4 linked regions of the Notamacropus eugenii genome follow. The protein of the gene in region 1 interacts with the protein of each later gene in a pairwise test. Links are inferred from orthologs where the notes say so. Each region holds a gene or a part of one and is shown in the gene's direction. Other genes may lie near its edges. The genes, in order: MEOX2, PACSIN2, SPRY1 and TRIM41.

What was found.
Region 2: the proteins of MEOX2 (region 1) and PACSIN2 interact in binary tests that used the Homo sapiens proteins (3 or more experiments, as listed by UniProt). The two-hybrid records come from large-scale screens. The link is inferred for Notamacropus eugenii from reciprocal best matches to the Homo sapiens genes MEOX2 and PACSIN2.
Region 3: the proteins of MEOX2 (region 1) and SPRY1 interact in binary tests that used the Homo sapiens proteins (3 or more experiments, as listed by UniProt). The two-hybrid records come from large-scale screens. The link is inferred for Notamacropus eugenii from reciprocal best matches to the Homo sapiens genes MEOX2 and SPRY1.
Region 4: the proteins of MEOX2 (region 1) and TRIM41 interact in binary tests that used the Homo sapiens proteins (3 or more experiments, as listed by UniProt). The two-hybrid records come from large-scale screens. The link is inferred for Notamacropus eugenii from reciprocal best matches to the Homo sapiens genes MEOX2 and TRIM41.

The regions. Positions count from the first base shown.
Region 1 is NC_092874.1:8,791,146-8,798,471, reverse strand, and holds the start of MEOX2 (homeobox protein MOX-2), read left to right. Parts: upstream 1-4,276; 5' UTR 4,277-4,705; coding exon 4,706-5,249; intron 5,250-7,326. UniProt on the Homo sapiens protein: Mesodermal transcription factor that plays a key role in somitogenesis and somitogenesis and limb muscle differentiation. Required during limb development for normal appendicular muscle formation and for the normal regulation of myogenic genes.
Region 2 is NC_092874.1:301,774,859-301,782,312, reverse strand, and holds the start of PACSIN2 (protein kinase C and casein kinase substrate in neurons protein 2), read left to right. Parts: upstream 1-4,234; 5' UTR 4,235-4,423; intron 4,424-7,454.
Region 3 is NC_092878.1:161,416,550-161,424,516, reverse strand, and holds the start of SPRY1 (protein sprouty homolog 1), read left to right. Parts: upstream 1-4,847; 5' UTR 4,848-5,962; exon of another isoform or gene 5,963-6,000; intron 6,001-6,686; exon of another isoform or gene 6,687-6,689; 5' UTR 6,690-7,739; intron 7,740-7,967. UniProt on the Homo sapiens protein: Inhibits fibroblast growth factor (FGF)-induced retinal lens fiber differentiation, probably by inhibiting FGF-mediated phosphorylation of ERK1/2. Inhibits TGFB-induced epithelial-to-mesenchymal transition in lens epithelial cells.
Region 4 is NC_092873.1:80,977,322-80,985,199, reverse strand, and holds the start of TRIM41 (E3 ubiquitin-protein ligase TRIM41), read left to right. Parts: upstream 1-4,847; 5' UTR 4,848-5,757; coding exon 5,758-6,558; intron 6,559-7,878.

The DNA.
Region 1 (7,326 bases):
AAATCATTACACTTTCTTAGTCTCTCTCTAACTCAATTTCAGTCTTTCTTTTCTTTTTAATTACACAGAACTTCAATCTGGTGGGTTGTGATGGTGCTGCCTATGTAGGGTGCGAGGCTGCAACACTTGGCTACTTAAAGAAACAATCTTCCCCACGTTCAAGATCGCTGGGATTCTTTTTCTAACAAGGTCAGCGGTTTGAAATCGTCATGTAAACAAAGCATCTCGTGACGTACCAGATGATGGTCTCCGAGCTTTGTTAAATAAATAAATAAAGTTGTTGGCCTGTGATCTCCTTTTGTGATTTTGTCAGGGAAGTGCAGAAACAAAGGGAACTGAGTGCATTAAAAAGCTTCGATTGCTGCAGCAATCCTTACCACAGCTTTCTTTTCCCAAGCTTACGAAGCACTTTCCTTTTTGGCAGGAAATGCCAGCGTTACCGCTATCCTACAGACGAGGAAACTGAGGCTCAGAGATTTTTATTTTTTCTTTTCAATTAATATTTACAGAAAACTTACAATTTCCATGCCCATATTTATGCCAGTCTCCGTAGCGTGACTTTGCAGAAACAGTCACAACATGGGAGCCAAAAAATAAATAAATAAATCAAGCATCCTATCATTTCAAAATTAATAGAAGTGATCGGGAACTTCACACAGCTCTCAGACACTGAAAGGGATACCTTAGCCATTCGAGTGGAATTTTATCATTCTGCTTTGCTTTCTGTAACTGATGGAGAGAGGGAAAATAGAAAGTACGGCTGTGCGTCTCTTCTTTCTCCCTTACTCTTGATTGTATTTACATACATGCATACATACATGCATACTATATAAGACCCACAAAGAAAGATTTCTCCGAATGGGGAAATTACGAGATAACCAAAAATCAAAAGATTTTACTTCCAAACATGATCAATTTTTAAAAGTGACATTAAAAAAATCATGCTCCTATTTATGTGTATATATGCGCGCATATGCACATCTGTATTTATATTTAGTATTTTCTCCAGGAAACGATGAAATTCATTTCAAGTTCAGTTTCCTGTAACTTGTGGAAAAGGACCTGCGTGCATTTCTCCTGTAAGAGCCTTCTAGCCTTCCTAGAAAGCTAACTTACGCGTGGAGAGGTGGTCCTGAATATCTCTCGAGTTCCCCACACCTTCACCTTAAGCTTTGGACTGGGAGAGTGTCTCGCTCCTTTGATTCTCTCTCTCTCTCTCTCTCTCTCTCTCTCTCTCTCTCTCTCTCTCTCTCTCTCTCTCTCTCTCTCTCTCTCTCTGTCTGTCTCTCTCTCTCTCTGTCTCTCTGTGTCTCTGTCTCTCTCTCTCTCTCTCTCTCTCTCTCTCTCTCTCTCTCTCTCTCTCTCTCTCTCTCTCTCTCTCTCTCTCTCTCTCTCTCTCCCTCCCTCCCTCCCTCCCTTTCCAGCCTCTTCGCCAGCTGCTTCTAACGACTGATTGACAGGGGCAGGTTGGTTGAGAATTTCAGGACCCTATCATAGGCCATCCATTAACACCTGATCCAGGAGACCGACAGAAGAGAAGTCAGCTCAGTACTAGGACAGTCGAGAGGAGAAATTAGTCAAGCAGGCGTCTCTTGGTGCTAATTGACTAGGTTTACCTGAAATACAGTTGTTCTAGGAGGACCTAACTCTCCAGCATGAGAACTCTCTGGTTTGAACCCTGGGGCATACGAGCTAGTCTCTTTCTTCTCAGCGCTCCCAGAGCTCAACACAGCTCTCAACCGGTGCGGATCCGATTCAGTCTCCCTGGGATTGAAGAGTACCAAGTGGGAAGTCGCGATTTCCCAATGTTCTTGGTGCCGCGCGGGGATTGGGGTGCCAAGCTTTCTCTTGACCACCTTCTTAATTCCTCCCCACCCCCCTGCCTTTGCCCACAGGCTAGCTAGGGCTAACCAAGCTCAGAGTCCTGGTGAGCTTGTTTTCCTTTGTACTTTAAGGTTTAATATCAGAGCCCATATTGAAACCATAAACACACGGAGAAATCAGACAAATATTCCACCCCGATGGTAACCGAACCGCCCCCTCCCTTTCCTTCATACGCTGGGCCCAGCCCATAGTCCCCTCTCCCCTCAGAAGGGAGTAGTAGGTACCCCTCCACCCTTGCCATGCTTTTGGGAGAGTAGAGGGCCTCATCACGAGGAAGGGTCTCCCTCAGATCAGTCAGGGCCCGTCTGGCTTACCGTTGGTCCCTGGCCGTCTACAGCTCCCTGTTCTCACCAACACTGCCCTAAAGAGCAGGGCAGGCAGGCAGGCAGCTGGTGGACAAAAGTTTTCGGTTTTTTTTTTTTAAACCAAAGTCTGCAAAACTAATTTCCCTCAGAATAGGGCTCAATTTCCGTTTAAGAAAACAGCTCTCACAAATCGTAGAATTCCTGGTCCCCCCCCCCCCCCCACCCCAGCCAAGGATAATAATTTTATCTTTCACATGGTTCTGAGGTTGTGTGGCCATCGGCAGCCCACAAATTGTCCCAGGGATTAAAAGGTAAAAGGGGCGTAAACAGGAGTGAGGGAGTACAGGGATGGAACAAGTCGGGCTTCAGTGAAGTTTAGGGAACCCCCTGAGTGGATGGTAGAGAGTATTCCTAACAAAAGCCGCATGTCCGCTCTATCGTAGTGTCTCTTCTTTCCTCTTCAAAGATTCTGGGTCCATCACTATTCGGGAGGGACACTTGAGACAACGAGAATACTGAGGCCCTCACGTTCTTTCCTGAGACTGCCGTCAGGCTCAGATCTTGGGAAGGAGCCCAGATAGGGAAGAGTATTTACAGCTCGGATTAGGGTCTGACATACTTCTACAGACTCTTCCCACCCAGTCTGTGACCTTTATGAATCCATTGCCCTGTCTCAGTCCTTAAAGGGGAGGTTAGCACCCAGAAGTGGTGGTGGTAGATCAGAGAAGTGTCTAGGGTGTGTTCATGGGTTATTTGCCTCCCTCCCCCCACCCCACCCCACGCACACACACTAGAAGAAAATTCCCATCCAACTTCCCGCAAAGGTAAGTTTCTAAGGCTGAATGGACCAGACGACCTCTGAGTTTCTTGCAACTTGGAAAATGAAAAATAAAAATTGGTCAGGTAGAAAACATCTGTATCCTCAGCTCCCGAGAAGGAGCGGCCAACCGCCCCCCCCCCTCCCCAATCCCTCCTTGGGGAGCCGAGGGAGTGGAGTCTCGGCGTTCTCCATATACCAAACCCGAGTTTGAAGGTTTGTGAGTTTTCTTCAGAGTAGGGTGGGATAAAAAGGGAGAAACCTCTCCTGAGGCATTGAGCTGAGTCTGGGGATACTATAAACACATCTCTGCACTGAGGACTAGTTGATTTCTGATTCTTCTAGAGAATTCAGGCAAACGGATCAAAAAAAGACCTTCGCACAAAGGGCTGTTTGTCTCAGCCCGGTGTGGGACTGCAGGTGAGGTTGCTGGTGGTTTGGGATCAGGCTGACTCCGCCTAAGGTTCACTTCCTCCCTCTCCCACCCGGTTCCTCAGCCTCTTTTCCCCTTGAGATAGGAGTCTATTTCCGCCAGAAGTCCAGTCAACCCCGCAACTTCAGACAGGGCTGCTACTCTGTGACCCATCAACTATACGCCCCTCTGACCCCAGAAAAAGGAGAGTATGGCACGGTTCCCGCGACCCCTCCGGGGAGCAGCATCTGCCCCAGCTTCTGGCTCCGCCTGCAGAACTAGGGCACTGCCAGGTTGTCGGCTCCTACCCTAGCGCAGCTACACAGCTTCTCCCAGCGGCGCCTATTTGCAGATGTGCATGCAGATGTGCATGAATAGCAACAATGTTTCCAACAAAGTAACAAATAAGCAGAAACAAAATTTCCCCGGAAAGAACAAAGTGGAACTTTGCACCAGTTTTTCGTGGGCTCGTACGCTCAGGATCCGAGAGCGGGTGGGCGTGAGAATGGGTGTGCGCCTGTGTGTGGGTGTGTAAGTGTGGGTGTATGTGTGTGCGAATATATGTGAGTGTTTGCATGTGTATATGAATGTATGTATAGGGGCGCTCCCCTGGGGCCGTCTATCAAAACTACAGTCCCCCCCCTTTCCCTGGGGGCCCAGCTAGGTGTGCCACCCAGGAGCTACCCGGGCTGGGGGAGGTGGACAGAGGAGGCTCGAGGAACCCAGGCTGGGCGGCGGCGGCGGAGCCGGCGGGGAGCGGAGCGGCAGTTTGGGAGGGAGTCCGCATGTGGTCAGCGCGGGGTTCCTAAGCCAGCCCCCAGCTCACATTACACTCTATTTATAACCTCCCGGAGCCGTTTCCCCCTCGCAGGCAGGCAGCATTCTCTGGGACCACCTTCTCTTGGCTTCCACCTTTCTCCTCCTCTTCCTCCTCCTCCTCGTCCCCCTCCTCCTTCTCGTCCTCCTCCCCCTCCTCCCCTTGACATCCGAGCGTCCGAAAGCAGCAGCGCAGCGGGAGGATTCCTCCTCCTTCCCTCTCTTTCTCTTGCTTCTTCCCGGGGCTGGCGCAGCCGGCGGCCGGCCGGTCCGACAGACGCACCGCCGGACTCAGCCCTCCAGAGTTCTCTTGTCCCGTCGCAGCCGGGCAGGCCGGGGCCAAGCGGGACAGCCCGAGGCCGGACCGGAGGCTGCGGCTCTGAGCACATTGCTGGTTTACCCAGGACAGCGGAGGTGGAGGCGTCCGTCCGCAAGCTCCCGCCGCCGGGCAGCAGCCGCGCCTCGCATGCTATGGAGCACCCGCTCTTCGGCTGCCTGCGCAGTCCGCACGGCACAGCGCAGGGCCTGCACCCTTTCTCGCAGTCATCCCTGGCCCTCCACGGCCGCTCGGACCACATGTCCTACCCAGAGCTCTCGCCCTCCGCCTCGTCGTGCATAATCACTGGCTACGCCAACGAGGAGGGCATGTTCGCCAGCCAGCACCACCCGCGCGGCCACCACCACCACCACCATCACCACCACCATCACCCCCAGGCACCCCCGCCGCCTCCACCACCGCCACCTCCGCCTCAGCATCAGGCTTTGCAGGGAAGCTGGCACCTCCCGCCCCTGGCTTCGCCGCCCGCCGCCGCCCGCCACAGCCTGTGCCTACAACCAGACGCCGGCGGAGGCCCGGAGCTGGGCGGCAGTGCCCAGGGTTTGTGCGCCTCGTCCGGCAGCTTGGGGGCCAGCACGCCCACGGGAGCGGCGTGCGCGCCAGGGGACTACGGGCGCCAGGCGCTGTCACCCGGGGACGCGGAGAAGAGGGCGGGTAAGAGGAAGAGTGACAGTTCAGGTAAGGAGCCGTCGGGGGGCTCAGGGCGATTCCTCGCTGGGAGTGGGCTAGGCCAGCTGCCTAGTGGACCGGCACCGCCAGCGTGGGCAACTGGGCTCATTTCCAGAGGGAGAGGCTCAGCGCGCGCGCGCATACACACACACACAAATCACACAGAGACTAGCACACAGGTACCAACAGACAGAAGAGTACCCTGACGGACGCATTCAGAGACATACAAGTGACTAGCTATAGAGACTGATGCGCAGACCCATACACGCTCAGGTGTCTGGGCACTGACAGGCAGGTTCTCTGACACACACAGGAGGACAGGACATACGCAGAGACAGTCACAGATGCATAGACGAACAGTCACATACACACAAGAACGTGTGACGTATTTATTGAGTGTTGAAAGCGCGGTAGACTTGCAGCCAATGAGTATAATGGAACTTCTCTCAACTTCGCGAGGCCATGGTCAGAACTCCTCGAGCCTTTCCCGCTATCTAGGATTATGTGGAGACGCTCGCTGCAGTACCCTTGGCTACGTAGACTGAGGCAGGGACTCTGCTGGCATCTGGGGCTTAGGGGAAACTCGAGAGCACGTGACAGCGCCTACTCTCAGTTGCTCAGTTAGCATTTTCTCTAGGCTAAAAAGGGAGATTTGTGGAACAGAGTCTCTGTTTCGCTTTTGCTGGTGCCGGGCCCTTAGTGGGGCTGCCTCGGACTCACTCGGCAGTCACCAGCCAGCCCTTCCTCCCCCTTTTCCTATACTTAACTGGATTTCCAAATTCTTGTGCAATCTTTGGAACCTTTGCAGTAGAACCTGGCAAAGTTCATGAGAAAAAAAACAAACATATATCCTTTATTCTGAATAAAGAATATTTTAAATAATCCAAGATTCCTAAAGTGAAAAAGTGGGGATCCCTGAGAATTGGGGAGTAAGGGGCAATTTCCAAAGTCTGAAGTTTGCACTTGAGTCTATATGTAAAGGACGCCCTTTGTGGATTTCCAAAAAGTAGTTGCCCAGTTAACTAATCGTGTATTGGGGGAAAAATGTTTCTTAATATTGGTCGCTATTAAGGGGGTGCTTTCTGGAGCACGAAATTCTCGTATCCGCAACAGGGAAAGTTGTTTCCCAAGTGGTGAGAACCCAGAAGACAAACAGAGGGGGTCTTGTCCAAAAGCTGAGAGTGTTGCCACATGCCGATTTACCCAGGGTTCAGGAAAACAAAACAAAACAAAACAAAACAAAAAACAAAAAACAAATCCAAGCCTGAGGCACTCAAGGTTGCTCCGATGGGGAAGCCGTAGCAAAGAGATTTGGAAATCTGATCTGTCAGACAGGAAAAGGGCAAGGCGAAGTATCTCTAACTCTTTGTAAAGATTCACCGCTGAATTCACAGCACCAGAGCCAGCGAGAAAACTAGTAAGCGATCTTTGGGTAAGGCATTCTTGGAGTATTTCCGGTAGCAAGCCTAGGCACCTTATTTTCTTCTTGAATCTAAGGACTGCCATGATGTTTTTGTTTTTTTTTAAACAATCATTTGGTAAATGTATCCCACCCCCCTCATTTTATGGGTTATCAGCTTTAAAAAAATTACCAAAACTATAGTAAAGTCAAAGTGACTTGAGATCTTGGGCTTAAAGTGTTTTATGTGGGATCCGAATGTTCTTCAGCATTAGGCTTGAAGGAGACTTTTTCAAGGAGGCTGTGAGGCAGATGTAAATCATCCTGTCACAACTTCACAATCTAGCCCCTTCTTTTGAGTGTTAGGAGTGAACATAGCCTTCCCACATCAGGGCTTCTTTATCCAAGAAGAAAAAAAATCCATTTTCTCATACATTATTGGTGGACTGGACAAATCAGGTGTAATGTTCTTAAAATGGTGACAAATAATAATATTAATCAAACCTACTGTTATACCTATTTCCTTGGACATGGGGAGAAGGCAGGCACCTTCAAAGTCCAGACATTATAGAATTTGTAAAAGTCTCTTATGAACACAATATTTTATATCGCTGTAAGTGAAAGACATTTTAGGTCACATATTTAGGCACCAGGAACTCTGGAAATGAATAGTTTATTGGATGAATT
Region 2 (7,454 bases), about 290 Mb from region 1:
GCCAGTGGTGCCTTTGGCCGGCTGATGTCCCAGGTCTGGGAGCTGGAAGCCCTTAGTGGGAATCTTGAGATCAGTCCCCAGCACCTTTGGAAACCTCCCTTTCCTCCTCTATAAAATAAGGAGGGTGATCCTTAGATGAGATAACGGGTTTGGCAAACTTGAAATGTTGGCTCTTTCTGTGGTTTATACTCCTTAGCTCCCAGAGTTGCTGTGAGGAAGCTGATTTTTACCTTTAAAAATGTGAGAGAAGGGATTATTATTGTTACAGATGCAAATGCATTCTACAAGCCTTAATTAAGCAGGGCTACCAAGTACCGATCTGGTGCTGGGGATGCAAAGTCAAAAATCAAATGTGGCGAGTGGTGAGACAATGTAGACCTGCACAAGGATGTCCAAAAAAGAAACAGATAAAAGATGTGGGAAGGGGAACCTGAGGAGGGTGGCCCCTGCGAGATGAGCCTTGAAGGAACCAAGGGCTCTAAGGGGGAGGGGAGGAGGAAAGGCATTACAAGCAAGGGACCCAGTTCCAGTACAATGGCAGGAGATGTGTGAGAAAGAAAAAACAAGTCTGCTTGGCTGGACTGACGCATTTGCAGAGGGAAAGCGACCAGCTGTTGGGCCTGGTTGGGAAGGTCTTTAAAGTCATCACAGAAGAGTTTTAGGTTTGATGCTGGGGATAATAGGGAATCACTGGAGGTTACGTAGGGGAGTGACATGGTCAGAATCAGGGGTGGCTGCATGGAAGCATCCCACAATTTCAATTTGTTTAATAAGCATTTATTAAATGCCTACTGTGTGAGCAATATGAGCAGGATTCAGGTATACAGAGAGCAGGCATCCCCAAGCCAGGAGGGTGGCATTTCAGAGCTGGCAGGGATTTTATGGATCACCTTGTCCACCTTCTTATCTTACAGAAGGAAAAAACTAAGGACCAGGAGAAGGGACTTGGCCAAGGTCACAGCTGAATCGGGCTATGTGGAGCTGGGAGGAGATGGGGGGGGGGGGGGGCATCTAGAAGCCAGTAATCCAAGTGTTTAAAGCCTTGAACTTTTCCACCTAGTTTAGAGGGTTGAACGGAAAACCCCAAAGGAGACAAAACAAAGCACTTTCACCCCCCTTCCCCAAAGGAATAGAATATCCTGACAAGTAGTTCCCCAGAGCTGAGCAAGGGGTGGGGGCTCCCTTGAAATTAGGCCAGGAGCCTTGCTGGCCTGTGCAGTCTCTGGGGAGCCCTGAACAGGGCCGTGGGCCTCTCCAGTTTCTCTCTCTGTTCTTACACCAGGAAATAATTGATACTCAACACCTGAATTCGCCTGCCTTGTTTAGCTTGTGGGTGTGGGCTGGGGAGGGAGCTCCCATTGGCCTGGGCACGAACACTGGTTTGGCCCCTGTGATGAGCAGTGTGGCATTCTTAGACACCTTACTGATCTGTGGCCTGTCCTTCAAGGCCTGCCTTGAACAAATCTCTCCAGCTTGAAGTGACCTCCTCATTGTGTGACCTCTGTCGATTAGCAGTCAACAAATATCTGTTAAGTCCCTGCTATATACCAGCTACTGTGTTCTGTTCTTTCTGGGCACACAGAGACAAAAATGAAACAGTCACTTGTGCTGCTTATGTATGTGGGGGATATACCAGGTCGTTTGAGGAAGGGAGAACACGAACCCCTGGGAATGGGGTAGGCCAGAACCCAGAGGAAAAGGCCTTCAAGTGGTAGAAGGTGGTGTCTCAGCTCAGACCCCAGAGAGATCTGGGAAACTCAAGTGAGGAGAGCATTTCAGCCCTGAAGGGACAGTCCATGCAAAGGTATGGAGGTGAAAGATCAAGGGCAGCAGGAAGGTATGCCAGCGTGTGGCCTGAGAGTGAGGAGGGGGTCCAGTTGTGAAGAGCTCTGAATGCTCAACTGAGGCTTTTAGTTTTGATCCTGGAGGGTAATAGGGAGTAGCTGGAGTTGATAGTGGGAGAACAGGGCTGGAATGCTATGGTCAGACCTACATCTCACAAAAATCTCTTTGGTGGGTGTGTGGAGGATGGAGCCAAGTGGTGAGAGACCAGAGGCAGGGAGACCAAACAAGACTGTTGCCAGATGCACATGCTGGTCTCCAAAAGTCTTAGTGTAGTTTTAATATTATTGATAGCTTTAAGCTTAAAATGCCACTGAGACTTTGAGGACATCCTGTATAAACTAGGAAGTTTGAGGGCTTCCACTGACCTACAAAGTAGCTGTGGAAGCACTTTACAAAAGAAGCTCTATGAGAATTAATAGCCAGTATATTTTACCAGGGGCTATACAGGTAATGACTTTGCTCCCACAGTCTCAGTTCTGTAATGCTTGGTAGTTGACAAACTACCTACAAACTTCCTACCTACAACTCTGTGAGGTGAGTACTGCAGGGATTACTGCCCCCCCCACCCCCCGTTTTATGGATGGGGAAACTGAGGCTCTGAGCGGTGACCTGACTTCACCATTGCCATAAGTGGCTGAGGTGGAATTTGAATCCAGGTCCCCGGCTCCAGATCCAGTATTGTGTCTGGACACTAATATTTGGTGGGTGGTTGTCCTGCAGGCTGGCCTCTCAGGAAGGAGGGAAATCTTAACTTGACTTTCCAGCTTGGTATAATTAATTCTATTTGACACCTCCCCCACCTCCCCACAAACCTACACCTGCATTAGACACAGCCTCGAAGTGGAAAGAATTTGGGTCCCTTCCCTGAGTGCCTGTTTCCCCATCTGTAAAATGAGAGGGCTGGACTTGCTCCTTTCCAGAGCTTAGGAATTTGAAGAGTAATAGCTGAACTTTTTACAGAGATTGAATATTTGCAAAGCACACATGATCTCATTCAAGGCTCACCATGGCCCCATGACCAGAGTAAATCCTAATTGGATGGATAAGGAAACTGAAGTTCAGAGAGACTGTCACTGGCCCAAGGTCACAGTACTTGAACTTGCCTGTCCTTGAAGGAGAAACTGAAGCCTCAAGTCACCTAGTGAGAACAGGAAGCAGAACTGGAATTGGGATGAGATCGGAGCCTCCTGGCTGCTAGGCTGGAGGGATTCTGACCTCATGGTAACCCTGGGAGAGAGGTGCTGCTAGTATCCCCATTTTACAGTTGAGGAAACTGAGGCAGAAAAGGTGAAGTGACTCCAGCAGGGTCACTCAGCTAGTTAGCGTCTGAGTTTACATTTGCACTCAGGTCTTAGTGATTCCAGGCCTGGTGCTCTCGTCACAATGGCATGCACTAGCTGCCATTAAGTGTAAGGACAATCTTGCTTTTCTGTGTTAACTCTGACCTTTCTTCTGTTCATTCCTCTGCATTAAAAAAAAAAAGTTGATGCAGGCTTCTGTCTGCCTTCTTCCCTCCCTATGTTCTCTGGTCGTCCACTCTCCTTAAAGGAGAAAGAAAAGAAAAACCAAGTCCTTGTAACAGGTAGGCATAGTCCAGCTAAACAAATTTCCACCTAGAGTGAGACTTTCTTGAGCCCCTACCGTGTGCGGGCACTGTGCTGGGTATGGGGATTACAGAGAAACCGATTGATCAGTCCACATTGGTGAAGTCCCTGCTATGTGCCAGGTGCGGACCTAATCAATGAATATTTGTTAAGCCCCTCCCGCGGGCTGGGCGTGGGGAATTGAGAGAAATGAATCAATCTACATTTATTAGGCACCTACTCCGTGCTGGGTACTGGGTACTGGGCACAGGGCTGGAGCGAGTGCAATGCAAGTTACCCACCAGGTAAACGAGGAGGGGGGCTCCGTGGCGCCGGCCTCCGCCCTCGGGGTCTTCACTGCCTCCCAAGAAGTGGAGGGGCAGCCTGGGGGGGTTCCGGGGGTCGGGGGAATCACGTGCTGGGCGAGGGTCCCCCCGATGCCCAGCGCAGGCCGGCTCAGCCCCACCTGGGGTCCCGACAAGCTCACCCCACTGTCATTCTACAGAGCGGGAAACCGAGGCCCGGGGAGGGCGGTGACACCGGGGCTGCCCCACGTAGACCGGGCTCTGAGCCCTTAAGAAACTGTAACTAACTAATCCCCGCCCCCGCCCCTCGCCTCCGGCTGGTTAAATAGCAACCAGCTCCGATCGACGGGGAAACCAGCCAATGGGTGCTCAGAGAGTTTCCCTCTGGCGCGCCGGGGGCGTGGCCTTGGCTCCCTCGGCCCCCGCTGAGCGGGCTGTCCAATGACCGGAGGCAGAGCCGAGAGGGGGCGTTGCCCCTCGGGCAGATGGCCAATGGGGAGCGGGCAGGCGGGAGGCAGGGCCGGCTGGGGCTGGGCTGGGCAGCGGCGGGCGGGGAAGTCAGTTGGTCCGTCTGTCCTTCGGTCCGTCGGTCCGTCAGTCCGTCCGTCCGAGCGAGCGTGAGCAGGGCCGGGAGGAGGCGCGGGAGGCCGGGAGCGGGCCGAGGCGGGCTGTCTGCGGCCCCGGGCCGAGGTGAGGCGAGGCGGCGGGGCCCGGCCGGGCCGGGGACCGTTGGGGGAGGGGGGAGGGGGAGGGGAGGGGGAGAGGAGGAGCGCGGGCACGAGTGGGACGGGCACGAGCACGGGCCCCCCCGCCGCGCGGGCGCTGCGCGAGGCCGGGGCCGGGACTGGCCCAAGGTCGCCCGGGCCGGCGGCGGCCGCAGGGGCGGGACTTGAACCCGAGCTCTCCGGGGCTGCGATGACCAGGGCCGCCTCCTCGCCCGACCCGCGGCTAGGCACGGAGGGGGAGGGGCCGGTGCGTTTTCCGGGGTTTGTTGAACTCCCCGAGTTCGGGTCGGAGTTCCTAAAGCGCCTACTGTGTGCCAGAAAGGCAGCGCCCTTCGTTCCAGGGAAGGTTCATTAGGCACCTACTCAGGGTTGGGGGGAAGGGAGACCGGAAGAGCCCTTCACTGAAGGGGCGCCTTGGACCCCGCAGGTGAAGTTCCGAGCAGGTGCAGACGCGCGCCCGCCCCGGAGCGGCCCCCCCGGAAGGGAGCCCCCGAGTTTGCGGGGTCTAGCCCCGCCTTAGACTGTGAGGGAAACTGAGGCCGGCAGAGGGGGCATTGCGTGTTCAGCATCCGCAGTGAAAGTGCCGGTGTATGTGCGTATAACGTATGTCACATACGTGTGTGTCCACTTTCATATTTACTCCATGTAGTGAATATGTAACTAATACAAGGAGGTTTTTATGTTCACGCCCACCCGTTGTATAGGCGTGTATATCCACTTTGATATGTTACGGATATAATACGTGTGACTAAATAGTAATTATGTAATAATTATCTACATATTCTCTCCAAACACACACACATATGGGATGGGGCAAAAGAGGGAGCCAGTCTAACAGAAGAGGAAAGCAAGGATGAGAAATGACAGCTCCTTCTCCCCCCTCCCCCAACTTACAAGGTTGTGGTTGGGTTTTTTTGGGGGGTGAGTGGGGATATTGGCATGTACACAGCTCATTGCACACAACGTAAAGAATGACTAAGGGGGCCTTTGTGGGAGACACTTGAGAGGGCTGAAGGGGAAGGGGTTCCTGGGGGTGGGGTTCTCTTGGAGGAGCAAGCTGCTGGATTTGAGGTGAGGAACCTGGGTGTGTTAGTGGCATTGGGTGAGCTGGAGAGGGTGATGATTTAGCTGAGGGAGGGGTGTGGGGAGATTGTTGCTGCTTGGGACGGGCCTTCTTTGGAAGGGCAGGAAGCTGGAATCTTTAATAACTTGCCCTGGGAGCCTGGCCGGCCCTTCTGCAGCTGGGCTTATTTTCAGGTCCCCTGGGGTTATCCTGCTTCAATAGCAGTCCCTTGTTCTCCCTCCCTTTCCCCTTCTGGGACACACTCTCCTATGTGTGGGAGGGATCCAAGGCCTCCCCTGCTGTCTGCGATGGGGGCTGGTGGGGAAGAGAGGGCAGTGAGAAAGCATCAGAGGATCGACTGAGTGGTAGCCTTTCAGAACCCTGGAATTTTCCTAAACTGCCTTTGATGGAAGCCCAGGGTGCCCCATTGATCTGCCACAAGTGGCACCCTATTTCCTCCCTCCTCCACCCAGAAGGAGTGCATTTGTACCATCTGCGGTGTGGAGCATAAACTTGTAGTGACCCCCCTCAGATTATCTAAGATTCGGTCTGGGGGAGGAATTGGAACCTTTCCTAAGCCTAGCCGGTGCTGCCCTTGGAGGGACTGAGGGAGAGCAGTGCACTGGAGGTGAGTCAGGCCCCCTAGGAGAGCTGCCTCTTCTGCCCCCGTCCCCTTCCCCATTTCCTGGTGGCTGAAAGTCTCCACAGTGACTTGTTTGTCCTGTTTACGAAGCAGCCCAGGCTCTGGGCTTTCCCAGAGGTGCTGATGATCATCCAGATCAGCTTGAAGCATTTCAGCAGAAGCTGCAGCAGAACATTTGCTCCTTTGTCCCCCTCCTCCCCAGCTTCCTCCTTTGCACTTCTCCTGAGGAGCTCATGTTGTCTCCCCTCCTGCAGCTTGCAGGGGCAGTGCTGGTTGCCTTCACATTCCCTCGTCAGACTCGTCCTTGTATGGTTGCCAGGGTTCACTTACTATTTCCCTTGCTCAGTATGGGAAACTTTTCTTCTGTGCAAATATAAATTCAGTCCTAAACCTTCAGACAACCTTGGCAGGGTTTGCCCAGGCAAAATCGGAGGCCAGTGGATCGAAAAAGTTTCTTGCGTGGTGCTTTTGGGGGCACAGTTCTCCTGCATCTTTTAGAAACCATGAAGGACCATTAAGATGGATAATACTTATTACTTGGGAGAGGTGACCTAAGCTGGAGAAGTAGATCAGTGAGTGGGTCTCTGGAATCTTTCTGCTCTTCTAGAATCAGATAAAGACCAGCCATAACCAGTCTTGCTCGCTGTTTTCCGGAGAGGTATCCACGATCTTTGTTGTTACCTCTGAGCTGAAGTTTTTAGGAGGCCACATAGATGTAATGAGCGATGGAGAGGGAGATGGATTAGTTTTCAGGTGGTTAATGAATGTTTCCAGCTGAGTTCCAGAAACCCAGTCAAGGTTACAGATGGCCAGTCCCCATTCCTAAGTGGGAGAGCCTGGGCATTTGTTCCAGAGCTGTTCATTTCTTCTGTTTTTCTTCTTTTCTTAAAGGTACATGTTTACTGAGTGCTTAGTTTGTCTCCCTGGAAGCCAGAGGATAGAACTGGTGCCTCTGATTTGTACAGGGACAGTTTTGGGATATGATGGGACATTACAATGTATGCATGAGTTCCTTGACTTTAATAGTTTGCTCGATCCATTCTGTATTATTTAGTGTTCCTTTCTTCTCCAGTCACACCATGACTGATACAGGGTTTCATTGTGACCTAACACAGATCATACAAGTCATGCCCAACTTTGCTCAAGTGAGAGTATCGACTTGGTTATTTCCAAACAAATAGAGTGTTGGAGAATGCTGAAGAGCAGCAAGACCTTGGTGAAGAAATCCCTGTGCATTCCACAGCTCAAGTCATCTGGTGATGGTTTCTAGCAGGGATCATTTACATACCT
Region 3 (7,967 bases), on another chromosome or scaffold:
CACATCTCATAAAATCAAGTGCACTAGTCAACATCTATACAACCTTGGAAAAAGGGGTGGTTGGAGAAGCTGACATATGAACAACACTCATCTGAACTGGTCAGTGGAGATAAGAACATAAACAGGTGACTACAGAAATACATTTCATTCAACAGGGAAATAGGGAAAGAGAAGGGAATTAGAAGGGTTGATTAAGGGAGGAATTAGTCTTAAATAAAAGAAACTCTAAGAATTTTACAAAAGTATTCACGGCTCTTTTTGAAATGCCAAAGAATGAATGAGAATGGCGGGGTGGGGATTATAAATTGGGGAATAGTTGAACAAGTCGTGATATGTAAATATGATAGAATAATAGCTAACATTTCTATAACAATATGCTAAGAAGTTTATAACCATTATCTCATTTGACTTTCTCAACAACCCTGAGTAGTAAGTACTATTATTATCCTCACTTTACAGATGAAGAAATTGGGGCAGGCAGAGGTTAAGTGATTTACCCAGAATCTCATAGTTCATAAGTATCTGAGGCTGGATTTAAACTCAGGTCTTTCTGACCTGCTCTGACCACTGTGCCACCAGAATCCTTAGCTTTCTTTAATTCTCCGCTCAGGTCACCTCCTCTGTGAAGCTTCTCAAGATCCCACCATTTTTAGCACTTTTCCCTTTCCTCAAATTACATGATAATTAATTATCTTTGTAAATGTTGTGTCTCTTCCTATGAAGTAAGTTCCTAGAGGATAGGAATTTCTCCTCTCCTCTCCTCTCCTCTCCTCTCCTCTCCTCTCCTCTCCTCTCCTCTCCTCCTCTCTCCTCATCTCTTCTCTTCTTGTCTCTTCTCTTTTGGTCTCTGTTTATCTTGTATGTAGCCCAGTTCCATGAACATCATAGGCTCTTAATAAACATTGAACTGAATTTGAATTCACTAAAATGCCTAATTTTCCTAAATTTCTCTCAAGGGTGTAATCCCAAGTGAAGTGACTGTCCCAAGGCCACACCATTACTAAGTGATAGAGCTATGATTTGGAACCCAGTCTTCTCACTCCAGATCTTGTGCTCATTCCATTATAATAGTGACTTCCAAATAGTTTTATTCCATACACTTAATTTATGTTCAATTATATTCAATTATTTTACATTTACTACACTGCATGAAAAACTTGTCCCTGATATGTAACTAATAACTATAAAATTGTAAAAATAGAGGTTGAGATATAGATAGAATATTCTTTGATCCAAGTGGAAATAGGGAGTCGCTGGACTTTACTGAAAGGGCAGTGATGTGATTAGAGCTGACTTTTAGGAAAATTACCTTGACAGCTATGTGGAGCATGGTCTGGAGTGGGGAGAGAACTGAGACAGGGGTGGCTATTACAATAGTCCAGGACAGAGGCAATGAGGGCCTCAACTAAGGTGTTGACAATGTGAGTGACAAGGAGGCAGATGGAAAAGAAAACAAAATTTGACAATTGATTGGACACATAGTGTGAGACTTAGGAGTCACCAAGGTTCTGAACTTTAGCAACTGGAACAATGGTGATGTCCTAGATTGAAGTAGAAAAGAGAACCCTGCTATGAATTCCAGCTGCCTTCTGCTGCATGGATCTTCAGAGGTATTCCTACTTTGACCCTTCTGCCTTTTAGCAGAATGAGGATCAGCCTCTTGGGCTCACCAGTTAAGCTTATCACCTCTAACCTCCAGGAGCCATTCCTTCCTTGGGAAAGCAATCCCATGCTTTCAACTCCATGGCAGCCCCGGACACAGAAGCCATATGGTCTGAGTGGGGGAGAGGTTTTTCTTGGTTTTGTTTTTCTTGCAATACTAAATTCAACAGTTCCATTTCTTGAGTAGGATCATAGATTTAGAACTGAGAAGCCATCAAGTCCAACCCTCTCATTTTACAGATAAGAAAACTGAGGCAAAGAAAAGCTAAGTAACTCATGAAAGTAAGAAGTGGTAGAGCCAGCATACTACCATAAGTTCTCTAATGCCAAAGTAACTTCCTGAATGTTCCTGAACCTGTAATCTAGACTTCTAGTAAAAGAAGGGTGATTACTAATACTAATACCGATAATAATAACTCACATGTATATAGAGCTTACTTTGTGCCTGGCACTGTGCTAAGTGCTTTACAGTTATTATCTCATTTCTTCTTCACAACCACCCTGTGAGATAATAATAAGAATAGCTAATATATAGTAATAGCTAACGTACCTTTTGACAGACACTGTGCTGAAAACTTTACAATTATGATCTCAATCTTCACAACAACACAGGGAGGTAGGTGCTGTTATCATCCCCATTTTACAGATGAGAAAATTGAGGCAAACAGAGGTTAAAGTGTCTTGCCCAAGGTCACATAGCCATTTGAGGCTTCCTGACTCTAGCACTCTATCCAGTGCACTGCCTAGCTGCCCAAATCCCTTAAATGTTTCTTTAGCAATGACCTCGGGAAGCAAATGCCTTGGGAGTTGCCTGCCTTTCTAGCAGTCTCAAATTTTAGAATCTTGGAATTCAACCTTTTGTTGAGATAAAAGAACTCCTGAGCAGAGCTAGCCTCTTTGTGGATGTCCAAAGTTGGGAGGAAAAGCAGCAAGGGACCATGGTTGTAATATGAGGAAAGAAGGGATCCAGATGTTGTACTCCATTATTAATAGGAGTCATTTGAATAGTATGGTTCAAATGGATATTGGGGTTGCTACTCTATTAAGTGTGTTTCCCTTCTACAGGAGTTCAATCAGTCACAGCAGTTCTGTGAGGCCAGATGCCTATATATCTCTTTCCGATGGCTGAAACCAACATGGTGCAATGGAGAAAGCACTATACTTGGGGTTTGCAGGACTTGAGTTTGAATTTTACTCACTACCTATTTGACTTTGGGTGAATCCTTTAATCTCTATGAACTTCACTTTCTTCATCTCTAAAATGAAGGGATTGGACTCATTGACTTCTAAGCATTCTTCCAGGGTAGGATCATTCATTGAATGGTACCTATTTATCATCTTAAAGGGTTTATATTCCGGAAGGACTATAATACTGCTGCAAAGCTGGATGCCTGTGGGATTCCCCAGAATGGCAGTTTTGCCTGTCTAGCAACCCGTCTTTCATTAGTTTTCTGAAGGAAGATTAACTGTAGGCTGCCACTATCAACCTGTATAAAACCAGAGTTCATGGTGCTGGACCACAGGTTACATATATTTGTTCCAGGAGGAAATTTTATGGGAATGGAAGATAGGGGAAATGTGGTATATTAGAAAATGATGGTGGTGCTATAAAAAAGAAAATCAAAAAGCATCATCAACAAAACAAACAAAAAAATTACTTTGTAGAGATGTATGTCTACATTTGACACCAAAGAATGGAAAACTATATGAGTCAACTTTCCCCACTATGACAGTCAATTTTCTGTGACCATGAATGACTCATGAATGATAATGAATGACAAGTCTGATTTATTTTAAGAGGCAGCTTGGTATAGTGGATATTGACCTCAATGCCAAAAATATCTGGGTTCAGATATTTCTTTGCCAGATAGTAGCTGAGTGATCCTAGGTGAGTCTCTTAGCTTCTCTGTGCTCTAGGTAACTCTCTTAACACCAGTATCTGTAAAGGGATTTTTCTGATTGGAATTTTCATAATCCAGTGAAACCATGGGTCTAGTCACTATCAACACTATTCATTACTGCAAAAGCAAATTTTTAAATATATATGTTCTCTTGAAAAAATCATTCATTCCATTTATTTTCCAAAATTACCTGTAATTTATTCAGAGAAACTGATTTTTTTTTTTTTTTAAAGAAATGTTTAGTGCTCCCTCTCCTGGCTTTGCAGTATCGGTGAAGTGGTGATCACATCTTTCCATGACTGTGATATACACTGAGTAGGAATTACTGGAGAACAAAATGAGATCCTGAGATGGGCTGAAATATTTCTTGTCCTCCTAGTAATAAATTTCAGCTCAATCAAAAGTGCCTAAAAATTAATATGTCTTTGGTAAAGGCAAATGCTAGCACCAAACTTTAGACTGATTCAAAATCAGAAAACTTCCCTAAGGGTATCATGTTGGGATTACTAAACTATGACTCCTGTAGCAGAACTGTACATTGCAAAGATCTTGGGCACATCCCAGAATTATGTTCACTCTGTTCTCTTTTGGAGTGATAACATTTTTATCCTACTCTGGGTAATTTGAAAACTGTCCCAACTATGGTTCCCAGAGTAGAAGCCGTTAGAAATCCAGAAGAATAAACACCACCATCATCAATATCACTTGTCAATGGTGAAAAAACACAATTTATAGAAAAGGTTGACGAAAAAAATTACAAAATATTTCTTTGAGCTAAAAATGTCCAAATCTGACTTTAGATAGAAAGAAGAATTTTAATAATAAATTAATGACAGTTTGTGTTTTTATTGTTTTTTTTTTTTTGCCTGATTCTAAGCTTGCTTGATTTCTTAAAGGGGGGGAAGTCTGCTTTTATTAAATATACTTTTTTTTTTAGTTTTAAGATATTACTTTTTTTAAAAAAATGATGAAGCAGTGACACTAAGACCTTATCTTTCCTATGGGCAATATGTGCTTTCCAGGGGGCTAGAATCTGTTTGATTGGGGGTATTGAAGGTTTTAAAATCTAAAGTTACCAGAAAATTAAAAAACAGTCTCATTTATACATGCAGAGAAAGTTGTTAGGTCCTTCAGCGACTCATATCAGATTACTAAGGACCATGAGATGCCATGGGCTACCGAGGGCTTTGGGGTTACATTTCCTACAAGCAGTACAACTTTAGTCCTCCCAAACTTGCAAAATCCGTGGTAAAGGACAGGACACAGCGTTTTTCATTACTTTTATTTGACCTTGCTTCTTAATATATTTGTTTTCAATCTAGGAAATTATATAATGCACCTGCCCTTTGAAACATCAAAAGTGTGTGTGTGTGTGTGTGTGTTTAGAATTCTGGTTTTTCTGAAACACTGAGGTCACATTCCGGGTGCTAGCCAGCCTCCAAACATGCAGTGAGGCACCTCTCTGGTAGCTTTGTGGTGCCCAGGAGAGAACGCTGAAGTTGGGCATCTGCTGAATTCTGTTAAAAATGAACTTTGCGCCGAAATAAAGGAACCTGGTTTTCAATCCCATTTCTTGGGCAGATCACTTAATCATTTAATCAGTCTACACGCGTTCATTAAATGCTTACTGTTTGCTTAGCACTATGCTCAACTCCTCAGAGGAAAAGAAAGTGGAAAAAGTCCCTGGCCTCAAGAAGTGTACATTCTAACGAGGTGAAGCCACGCTAATGACAAGGTGCGTAGAAGACTTTACAAAGAATGTATGAAGGTAATCGGAAGTGTGTGTGTGTGTGTGTGAACATTAACTACAAACTTCTCTGCCCAGTTAGTATTCCCAGGGACTATATAACTCAGATGGGCAACTCTCTACTTGCTCTGATGCTTTCCAAGCAGTTTCCATTGGCTTAGGGAAGACTGTCTCTGTCTCGTCTTTCTGTCTTTGTCTCTGTCTCTTCCTCCTTCCTTCCCCCTCTCTGTCCCTCTCCTCCCTCCCTCCTTCCCTCTCTCCTTCTTCCTCCCCCCTCCCGGAAGGCTCTGCAGACCCCCTTGGGCTGGAGCTCAGGGAAAGAGCTCCAAGTAGGGCAGCCTGCCTGCCTGCCTCGGGAGACCGAACGTGCAAGTGCATGCCTGCACCCCGTCCACTTCTGTAAACACCACGGAGGAAATGCCTGTCAGAGGAAATCCTGTTCCAGGTTTTCGAGCAGTTCCCGTGATGGACACATGATATCACTGGAGGCGGGCCTCGGCTCGGAGGTGGAGGTGGAGGCTGAGCGCTGAAATGCGGCTTCGGGGCGTGCGGGGCTGGCTTCTCCGAGGCGGGCGGTCGCAGGCGGCCGGGCGGGCAGGCAGGGCGCGCGCCGCAGTTCCAGCCCGGCTCCCGGAGTGGCCAGACGGCAAAGGTGCGTGTCTGGAAAGGCACTTCCAGTCTTGGCGTTAGGTAGGAGCCGTTTCCTCACTCTTCTTCCCGGGGCGCTGCTGGGGAGGGGGAATGCACGGGTGAGCGGGGTTGGCCTTGGCGGAGGAGGGCAGCGCTGGCTTTCCGCGCTCGCTTCCCCCCAGCCTCCCGCGTGGGAGCGGCCGGGACGGACTTGCAGCCTCTGCTCACCCCGCGAGGTGCCGGGGCCGTGTGTGTGTGGGAGCCTCCAGGTCTGCCCGGGCTCTGGGCATGAATTCCAGGGCGCGGACCCCTTTTCCTCCCACCGTGTGTGTGTGTGTGTGTGTGTGTGTGTGTGTGTGTGTGTGTGTGTGTGTGTGCGTGTGTGTGCGTGTGTGTGTGTGTGTGTGTGTGTGTGTGTGTGTGTGTGTGTAGGAGGGGGGTTGAAGAAGTGTCCCCGGGACCTCCCTTTGCAGTCCCTGCTGTCGAAGCGGGCGGGGGGTGCGGGGGGCGCTGGCTCCCGGGTGAGGGAGCTGACTGACATGCATGCCTACGGGGCCGCTGTCAATCACTCGGAGAGCAACAGCAGGCACATGGTAGACAGGCAGGCTGGCTGGCTGCCTAGCTGGGGGCCGAGGGAACGGGAGAGGGAGCCCCGGCCCCGGCCCCTGCCCCTGCCCCGAGCCACCCTCCGGGACAACCACGCATTTTACTTAATGGGCTCTCTCTCGCCACTCTCTTCTCCGCAGCAGAGTAGAACGTGGACCTGGAATGCCGAGCGAGCAAGCTGAAGCTGCGCCCCACTGCCTGCTCCTGGGCCTGAACTGAGCCCAACGAGCTGAGGCGCTGGCACGTTGTGCCCACCCTAGAAGAGCTGCTGTGGAGTGAAGGAGGCAGCGTGACAGCATCCTAGCCTGGGCAAGAGGAGATCTAAAGACTCCACACCACAGGACATCCTGCCATCGCGACGTCGTGGGGTTATTCGGAATCCCACCCCTTCCCGCAAAAGAAAGGTGGGGGGAAGAGAATACTCCCCGAAGTGAAATCCACCGAGACTCTGAAGAACTTTCCAAAAGGAGTCTCAGGCGTATCCTCGCTGGACCCCTCCGTTGCCTGCCTGCAGACTAGCCAGCTGCATTCGGTTGCTGTTGGCATCTTTGGGACTGACTGGGAACGCCGCTTTGAGATCCACTCTGCATCCAGGGCTGAAGACTGCTCATTCCTCCCTCCACCCCGCCCTATTTTGGAATTCTCAGCATCAGAACTGGGGAGATTTGAAGGCTGAGAAACCTTGCCGTCAGAACTGCCTTTAGATCCAAGGATCTTGTTCCTGCAATAGGGAGAACCTCCTCGTTCTAATCCTTCCCCTCTCCCCTCCTCTTTTTGTTTTTCTTCCCCCTCTAACTTTTTTTCGGGAGACCCTTGGCAAAGCTCGGAGCAGCACTCTACCTGCGGAATCCTTGCTAGACGGAAGCCCCTTGGAAGGGGGTGTTCACTCTGCTGAGAGGCAGAGAGCTGGGCTCCTCCAGAGAATTGCAAGCAAGAATTCTCTCCTGCAGCCAAAAGGGGGCCGGGGAAAGGCTCCCTCCCGCAGCCACAGCAGGAGGAGGAGGCGGAAAGAGGAGGGAGGGGGAGTCCTTGGGCTCGCTAACCCTCGCCTCGCCTCAGTTCGGCTTTGAGGGGATGCCGACCGCAAGCCCTGGCAGCTCTGTTTAATGCTCGTCTCGGGCGCTTGGACGCGCAGTGGGTCTTACGCGGAGCGGGCTTGGACGAATTCGCCCCTGGTGACCGCTCCGAAATCGGTAGGTGGGCTTCTGGGGGGACCGCTTTCAGCGCCACGGGGGTGGGGTGGAGAATTCAGGGGTGCACCTGAGCGCATTTAAACGCAGATGCGTTCTCTTGATGGTTTGGAGAGGAGGGCTCCCATGTGTAGAGAGAAAACTGTGCATGTTCGGGGGAGGGGGGGCTCCCCCAACAGGTGCAGCTCACTCCCAGCCTCGAGGGTAAGTCCGGTAGCCTGGCCTTGGCAC
Region 4 (7,878 bases), on another chromosome or scaffold:
ATGTGATCTCTTCCACCCATTAATGGGCCTGCCTGATTTGGGGAGATTTGTATCTTTTGTTCTCTAAGGTTGGGGTGCCCTGTGGCTCTTTAAAAAAAAAAAGAAGTGTAAATACTCTGAGTAGAGGTTTTACTTTGGGGCTTAGTTTTTGGAAGAAGGTTTGTGTGCCAGATGAGACTCTGGGAAGCTGCTAAGCAGGCCTCTGCCCTCCCCTCTTTAAAAACCCAGATGTTAGTGCTTCCCTCTCTAGCAATTATGGTCAGACAGTTGGACCTGTCTGTTGATTTATGATATATGTATTTCTTATGTCAGACAGTTTGGAAGCGCTGTCTGTTGATTTCCTGAACTAAGTGAATGATATATGTGCTTGATTAAAAGAGATTGTTAACCCCTCAAAAACTGTCTTTCCTTTTAGAAAAGCAGATCAAAGCCTCTGATAGCAGGCTCCCCTGTGTATGTTAGAGTGCTTACTGTTACCTATGGCTATTGATAGCATGGGTTTCTTCCTTTGAAAACTCTCTGTTCATATTCTTTGACCATTTATCAACTGGGAATGGAGGAGGCTATCTCAAGGAATTTAGCTGAGAAGAGGAGGGGAAATATAAGGAGGTTAGCTAGCCCAAATGGTGTAATGGCTGAGAGGGTTTTTTGTTTATTTTGTGTTTTCTTAAATAGGTGAAACAAGAGTGTGTTTGTAGGCAGCCAGCAAAGAGCCATTAATTAGGTACAGATTCCATAATCAAGTGATCTAGCTTTAATTCAAGAGCATATGAATATAAGCAAATGGGGCAGATTGTGGGAGTGATCCAGGGTTAGAATTTGTCAAGGAAGTATTTCAGATTGGACAGAGACAAGAGATTAAAGAGTAAAGTTGAACTGGTTCATCAAGGAGTCTGGATAGGAAAAGAAGGAGTATATAGGTAGCTCAGAAGTGATACTAGCCTGGGAAAGTTCTGTCAGGTGGCAGTGGTGGAAGTCACTTAAGGTTGAACATCAAGATTAATGTCTTACGGCATGGGAACAGATGGAATGATGAATGATTATGATAAAGGAATTTCAGAGTTTATGAAAATGGAACTAGAGTTCCGAGACATAATTTCTGGATAATTTAATCATTTTATTAATAAGGCCAGCATATTTATTAATAAAAAGGATGGTCATCTCTCTTAGACCAAAGATCCCTCCCTCATGATGGTGGGCTCATAGTTTATATAGCCTTCCAAGGGTAAGTGAGGGGTGGCAACCAATTCTGATTAGTTAACAATGAGAAAATGAATATTACAATGGGAGGTGGACTTTATTAAAATGAAGGTCTTGGGGTACATGACTTGGATCACTCACATGTTGGTCAGAGACTTATCCATTTCCCTATTACTTGTTTGACAAAGGAGAATCAACATTTCCCCCTCCTCCCCACCCTCCCACTAGTCTGAGCCAACACAAGGAACAGTAATGCACCCATTAATCCAAACTTAGAATTTCTGTCTGATTAGATATTGGAGATTTACCCAATTGGTTTCTGAATTGGGGCTAATAAAATAATTAGTTATTAAATACTAAGGAGAAATTCTCATTTCTCATAACACATAAATACTAAGGGTATGAATCTCTATGTCATGGAACTGAGAACATGTTAATATGAAGGCAGGAGCAGAGATGGAAAGACAAATATCCTAAGGTTCCATAAATAATGTATGAGTATCTTCAATATTTGATTTTTCCAGCTGGCAGAAATAGTCTAAGGTTGAGGGAATCCTTCTTCCAACCAAGGAGTTCCACCATGACCTCCTTTCACAATCAGGATTATATCATTCTTAGTTCTGTTTTATTGAAACTGTAAAACAGAAATTGGAACTGGAATTTTATTCATTTACCTATTCATTTACCAATATGATGCAGTTAAAAAGTGCAAGAGACAATTTTTGGTAATTAATAATTTTATTGACTATAGTTAGCAAATAATTAATAAAAGGATGGTCATTGGAATTTCTCTAGTGAACCAAGAGAAATCATGGAGGCCTCTCAAGGTTTATACGGGTTCAGAAAAGTTAGTGTTCCCCATAGTCGGAAATAAACTCTGACTGGTTATTAATTAATGAGACAATGACAGATGGGCCTATTCTAATGAGGGGCTGGGGTACGTGATTTTGATAATGATGTCACTCTTACTCCTCTCCCCGAAGACCACCTCAAGCTGTGTGACCTTGGGCAAGTCACTTAACCCCAATTGCCTCATCCTGGGTCATCTCCAGTCATCCTGAAGAATATCTGGTCACTGGATTCAGATGGCCCTGGGGGAGAAGTGAGGCTGGTGACCTGCACAGCCCTCCCTCCCTCAAAACAAAGTCAAGTGTTAAGTCATGTCATTGTTTCTCTGATGGCATGGTCTTCTTCAGCAACGAAGGACGAACACACCTCCAGCTACCCCCCTCGCAAGCTTGCCTGCATAGAGCAGAATGGGCAGAAATTCATATAGATTAGATTCTCTATGTAAAGTTTTGTAGTTGGGTGGGATTCCAACCAAGCATATATCCTGAGGATTTGGGCAATCTTATCTATCAGCAATGTCCTTCAACGACATTATTCAAAGGGTTATATCTGAATGAGGAAATTGAAAGAGGAAACCTTATCTCAATTAATAATTGGTTGTTAATATAAGAGAGAAATAACAATTTCTCTCACAAACATGGATTGAACCTACGCTATAGCATTATGAGCACCCGAACCTAACCAATTCACTTTAGGGGAGACAAGATTAGAGAAATTTGAAAGGAACCCCATTGTCATCTTGAATGACGTTTTGGTTTTGACCGGCTACCTGGCAGTTGACTGAACCATAGATTTCCAGCGGGAAGAGACTTTAGAAATCATCTAGCCCAACCTCCCATTTTTCAGATGAAAAGACTAAGAGATTGAATGGTTTTCTCACTTCTCCAGCCCTAGGTTATCTATCTATCCTCAGCCCCGAAGGCTTACTCTGATCAGGCTCCGGGGCCCAAGGATTACGGTTTGCAAACCCGAAACCTGATTTTCCAGACTCCCCTCGTGTTCTCTTTCTCAATGAGCACCTGCTTTAGGAAAGGCCAGGCGCTGGCTTTCTGGACTGACCAAGGTTTGAAAACCTGATGCCCCGGATCCAAGTTAGCGAAGCTGAGGATGGACAGAGCTCAGGATCCTGGAGAAGAGAGGGCGCTAGATGGGGAATGGGGTGGGGAGTGGGGAGCACGGAGTCCTGGGTCCCTAAACCCAGCAGCGATTGGACAGAATCTGAGAGGGGAAAGCGGGGGAGGGGGAAGAGAAAAGCCCCCTGCATCCCTGGGTTTCCTTCCACAGCTCCAGTTTCCGATGCTCTCCGTTTACCCCGAGGTCCCTTCCCCTCCCTCCCTCATCTTCCTCCCGCCGCCTCCCTTTCCCTTTTCTGCGCATTCGCAGAAGAGGAAGTCACCTGCCAAGTGTTGAAAGGGTAATTCATTTCCTGTGCTTTACCTGAATCCATTCTCTTGTTTCTCCTGTTTGTTCTCCATCCCCCGAAGACCCCCCCGCCCCACAGCTCGCTGTCTACACCGAACTCCCCTCTACCCTTACGTTCCGGAAGGGAATGAATGGAAAGAAAGAGTAGATGTGAGGGCTTAGAGCACCCAAGATTTCAGACTTTTGTATCTTAATTTTCGAAGTCTTGAGGTTTGTGCAAGCAGAAGCAAAGTGATGAGAACTAAAAGAAAGACTGAGCAACTGAAAGGGGGACAAGAGGAGAAATAAGGGAACAGAGGCAGGAAGAAAAATACAAAAACAGATAGACGAATGAAAGGGACAGAGTAGAATGAGATAGGTAAGCAACGTTTCTTTTTCATAGTAAGAGAACAGAGACGGGAAGAAAATTTTAAAAAACAAACAGGTGAGCAACATGTTTCTCTTTCGTAGGAGAAAGGGGATAGAAAAAACTTCCGCCCAACGTGGGGCTCGAACCCACGACCCTGAGATTAAGAGTCTCATGCTCTACCGACTGAGCTAGCCGGGCTACTGAAAAACGACTCTGACCCATATGTCCCAGGAGGCTAGGACTCTTGACTGGCTCAAGCAGATTTGATGTTTCTTTTCTCTTCCATTCTAGGCTTATTTCTTTTGTGGGCTACCTAATTATTAATAGTAAGTGGGAGGAGAGAAGGAGCAGGATGGTAACAAATACACAGAGAAAGCTGTAACTTGAAAAAGGAGAAGTCAACTAAAGTAACTTCCAACCAAAAAAAAAAAAAAAACTGTTTCCGCCCGGTTTCGAACCGGGGACCTTTCGCGTGTGAGGCGAACGTGATAACCACTACACTACGGAAACTAATTAGCGAGGCTTGTTATCCCCCAAGCCCTAAGCAGCTATAGAGTAGCTCAGTATCAGTTGTCCAAATCTAAAGGAAACGCCGTCCCGAACCGCTCCTTGGGATCTTTTTTTGCTTTTTCTTTTCAGATTGGACTTCATGGTACCTAGGACCATCGGCCAAATGTCATCCCTGCTTTCGGGCCCACATTTCACTACTGGCTCGAAGCTCGACTCTTTTGGAGTCTGAAATTTTGGGTACTCTAAGCTCTCACACCCAGCCCTTCACAAAGGGGGAGTGAACATCGACCCAACAGTTCTTGCAACTTTATGTCTTTTAAGTCCCGCAGTCTTACTCTTGCCAGACCCACTGTCCTTCGGTGGGGGTTCACTTTAGAAGCGACTGACCTCCCCCCAAATTCCTCCTCTATGGAATCGTCTAGAGTCCTCCTGACCACAAAGTTCCTGGGCTAGAAAGACCGGAAGGTTACAAGAACGCAGGCGTAAAACTTTCCTCTTGGTCTTCCTGTTCCCACAACTTCACTCCATTTCCGGTAACCGCCTGTTGGTTGGAGCTGCCCAAGACCTCCGTGGGGGCTAGAGTAGCAACGGCGCACGCGAAGTTGGAAGACGCTTCGACGGATGGCCTAGAGCGTCGCCCTTCCTATTCCCCTCCCCCCCTCCAACCTGTGTCTTTCATTGGGGGGGGAGGGGGAAGAGTCTCCAATCAATGCGACGGCCCCGGCCTCCTTAAGTACCATAGAGACCCGGATTTTTCTGTTCCCGCCCCTTCTTCCGCCTCGGGCGCCTATAGGAGAGCCGCTTTTTAGCCCACTTCCTGTTAGCTGAGAGCGCGAGAGCCGGAGAAGAGAGGAGAGGGAGGGGGCGGGGCAGCCCAAGACATAAGGAGCCAAGGAGGGCCCGGGTGGAAGGAAATGGGCGTGCGAAGAGGCCGGAAGTAAAGCAAAGATTACAGGAAGTTAAGGGGAGGAGCTAGGGGTGAGGGGAGGGAACCATATGAGGAGGGGGAAGGAGGAGTTAGGTAGGATTTGCATTCAGTACCCAGACTGAGGAAACAGTCCGGGAGGGCCCGAAATAGTGCCATTTGTCCCTTTTGCAGCATGGGGGTGGGAGTGGGTGGGAAAGGCTATTGTCAATTAGGTTTGTAAATTAGAGCTCCTCGCTTTCTTGGGGCTAAAAACTGTGTTTGTGTGTGTGTGTACGCGCGTGTGCGTGTGCGTGCGCGCGCAGGTGCGCCACAGTGTGTGTTTGGGTCAGGGCACCTCTGTGGCCCCCGTTGGGAGTGGGGAAGAGAAACGGGGGCAGAAAGGGAATTTGGTTGTAGAATCAAAAAGGAAGAATCTCCCTCTTCCCACCCCCTTCCGTTTTCCTGGCCTCCCTGCCCTAGCCCTTGGCAGATAACCCTCCCTGGTTGATTTGAGACTAAGATGGCTGCCGTTGCCATGGCACCCAATCCAGTCCAGACCCTCCAAGAGGAGGCAGTGTGTGCCATCTGCCTGGATTACTTTACAGATCCCGTGTCCATTGGCTGTGGGCACAACTTCTGCAGGGTGTGTGTGACCCAGTTGTGGGGTGGAGAGGATGAGGAGGAGAGGGAGGAGGAAGAAGATGAAGGGGAAGAAGAGGAGGTGGAGGCAGTGGGTGCCAGTGGTGGGTGGGACACCCCCATGCGAGAGGATGAGTACGAGGGGGATATGGAAGAGGAAGAAGTGGAGGAGGAAGAGGATGAAGAGTTTTGGACCAATAGCATCAATGGCCCCACCTGGGACAACATGGACTATGTGTGGGATGAGGAGGAAGAGGAAGATTTGGACTACTACCTGGGGGATGTGGAAGAGGAGCTGAGGGGTGAGGAGGAGGAAGAAGATGAAGATGAGGAGGTATTGGAAGAAGATGAAGAGGAAGAGCTAGAGCCAGCCACCCCTCCACCACCAACCCCTGCTCCTAGGCGCAGATTCACCTGCCCCCAGTGTAGGAAGACTTTTCCCCGTAGGAGCTTTAGACCCAACCTACAGTTGGCCAACATGGTGCAGGTCATTCGGCAAATGCACCCAGCCCCTCGGAGAGGAAGTCGGGGGAACGAACAAGGTGTATGCCCCAAGCACCAAGAGGCTCTCAAGTTGTTCTGTGAAGTGGATGAGGAGGCTATCTGTGTGGTGTGCCGGGAATCGAGAAACCACAAGCAACACAGTGTGGTGCCATTGGAGGAAGTGGTGCAGGAGTACAAGGTGAGAATGAGAAGGGGACACAGTCTTGGGGTGGTAGAAAGGAAGCAGAGTCAGGAAGGGGGAGTAGAGGAGGGTAACTGCCCTTTCCCTGCCAGATCTCATCCCACATTCAACCTTATCACTTCCGCTTCATACTAGAGAAGGCCTACCTAGAGAAACAGGAGGATAATATAGAGAATAAAGGAATAAGCATTTATATAGTACCTACTAGGTGCCAGGCCCTGTGCTGAACACTTGACAAATATCATTTTATCCTTCAGTCAACCCTCTGAGGTAGGTGTTTCGCATGGTAGAAACTGGGATGGCTGTCCTCATAATATTCTGGGCACAATGTCACATTGCCAGGGAGACCACTGCTGCTTTCTGTGGGTCACCTCACAGGTGTTTTTAGCAGTAGTAGTAGTGGTGGTGGTAGTAGTAGTAGTAAGTAGTAGTAGTAACCAAAGAAAACCCTGGCCCTGACAGAGTGATTCAGAGACCTCCTAGAGACAGGGATGGAGAGAGAGAAATTTTAGGAGAAAAATTGGGGAAACACTTCAGGCTAAAAGTAAGCTGATAATTATTCATCTCTCAGGTATAAATCTGGAATAATTAATGAGGTTGGGGAGCTCCTCAAAACCACACCTGTTTCATTCTCTGGCCTTGCTGACTAGTTTAAAGTAATTGGATAGTTTATACTATAAAGCAGGAGACAGAATGTTAGCACCCTTATTGCTTCAACATTAGCCTACCTCTATTTTTTTCCTGAGTAGCTGCTTTTTGAGATCCCACCTTTGAATTCTGTTTATAGATTGGTTGACACCTCATTTATTTTAGGACTTGGCTGTGTTGTTGGACTTTAGCAATGAAGAATTAATTGTATAATAGAGTGAATTGTACATTGAGGCCAAGTTGGGTTTATCTAATTCACAGCATCATGATCCCCGCACCTAACCTAGAATTGTAAACTGCCTGAAGGGGATTAAGTCTTTTTACTTTTTCCTTTGTATTTCTCATACTTCTTTGAACTGGGTTCTCCACAATGGTATGTGAAATTAATATTGGTTCTGAGAATAAATTCAGTACTTGCCCATTCTCTCCAGGCATGCCTCCCAGCAGAATCCTAGACCTGAATTTTAGTTCAATTGGCAACTTTTTTTGAGTTTCTTTTATTTGTGGAGACTTGTACTTAATACTGAATTGGACTTTGATTGGGGAAGGAAAGAGAAGGATGCAAAATTCAACACATGGTTCTTGCCTTTGACAATCTTTGTTCCATCAGTTAGAACGTCATATTGACAGATAGGAACTTATAAAAGTAGTTATAACAGATTGATAATT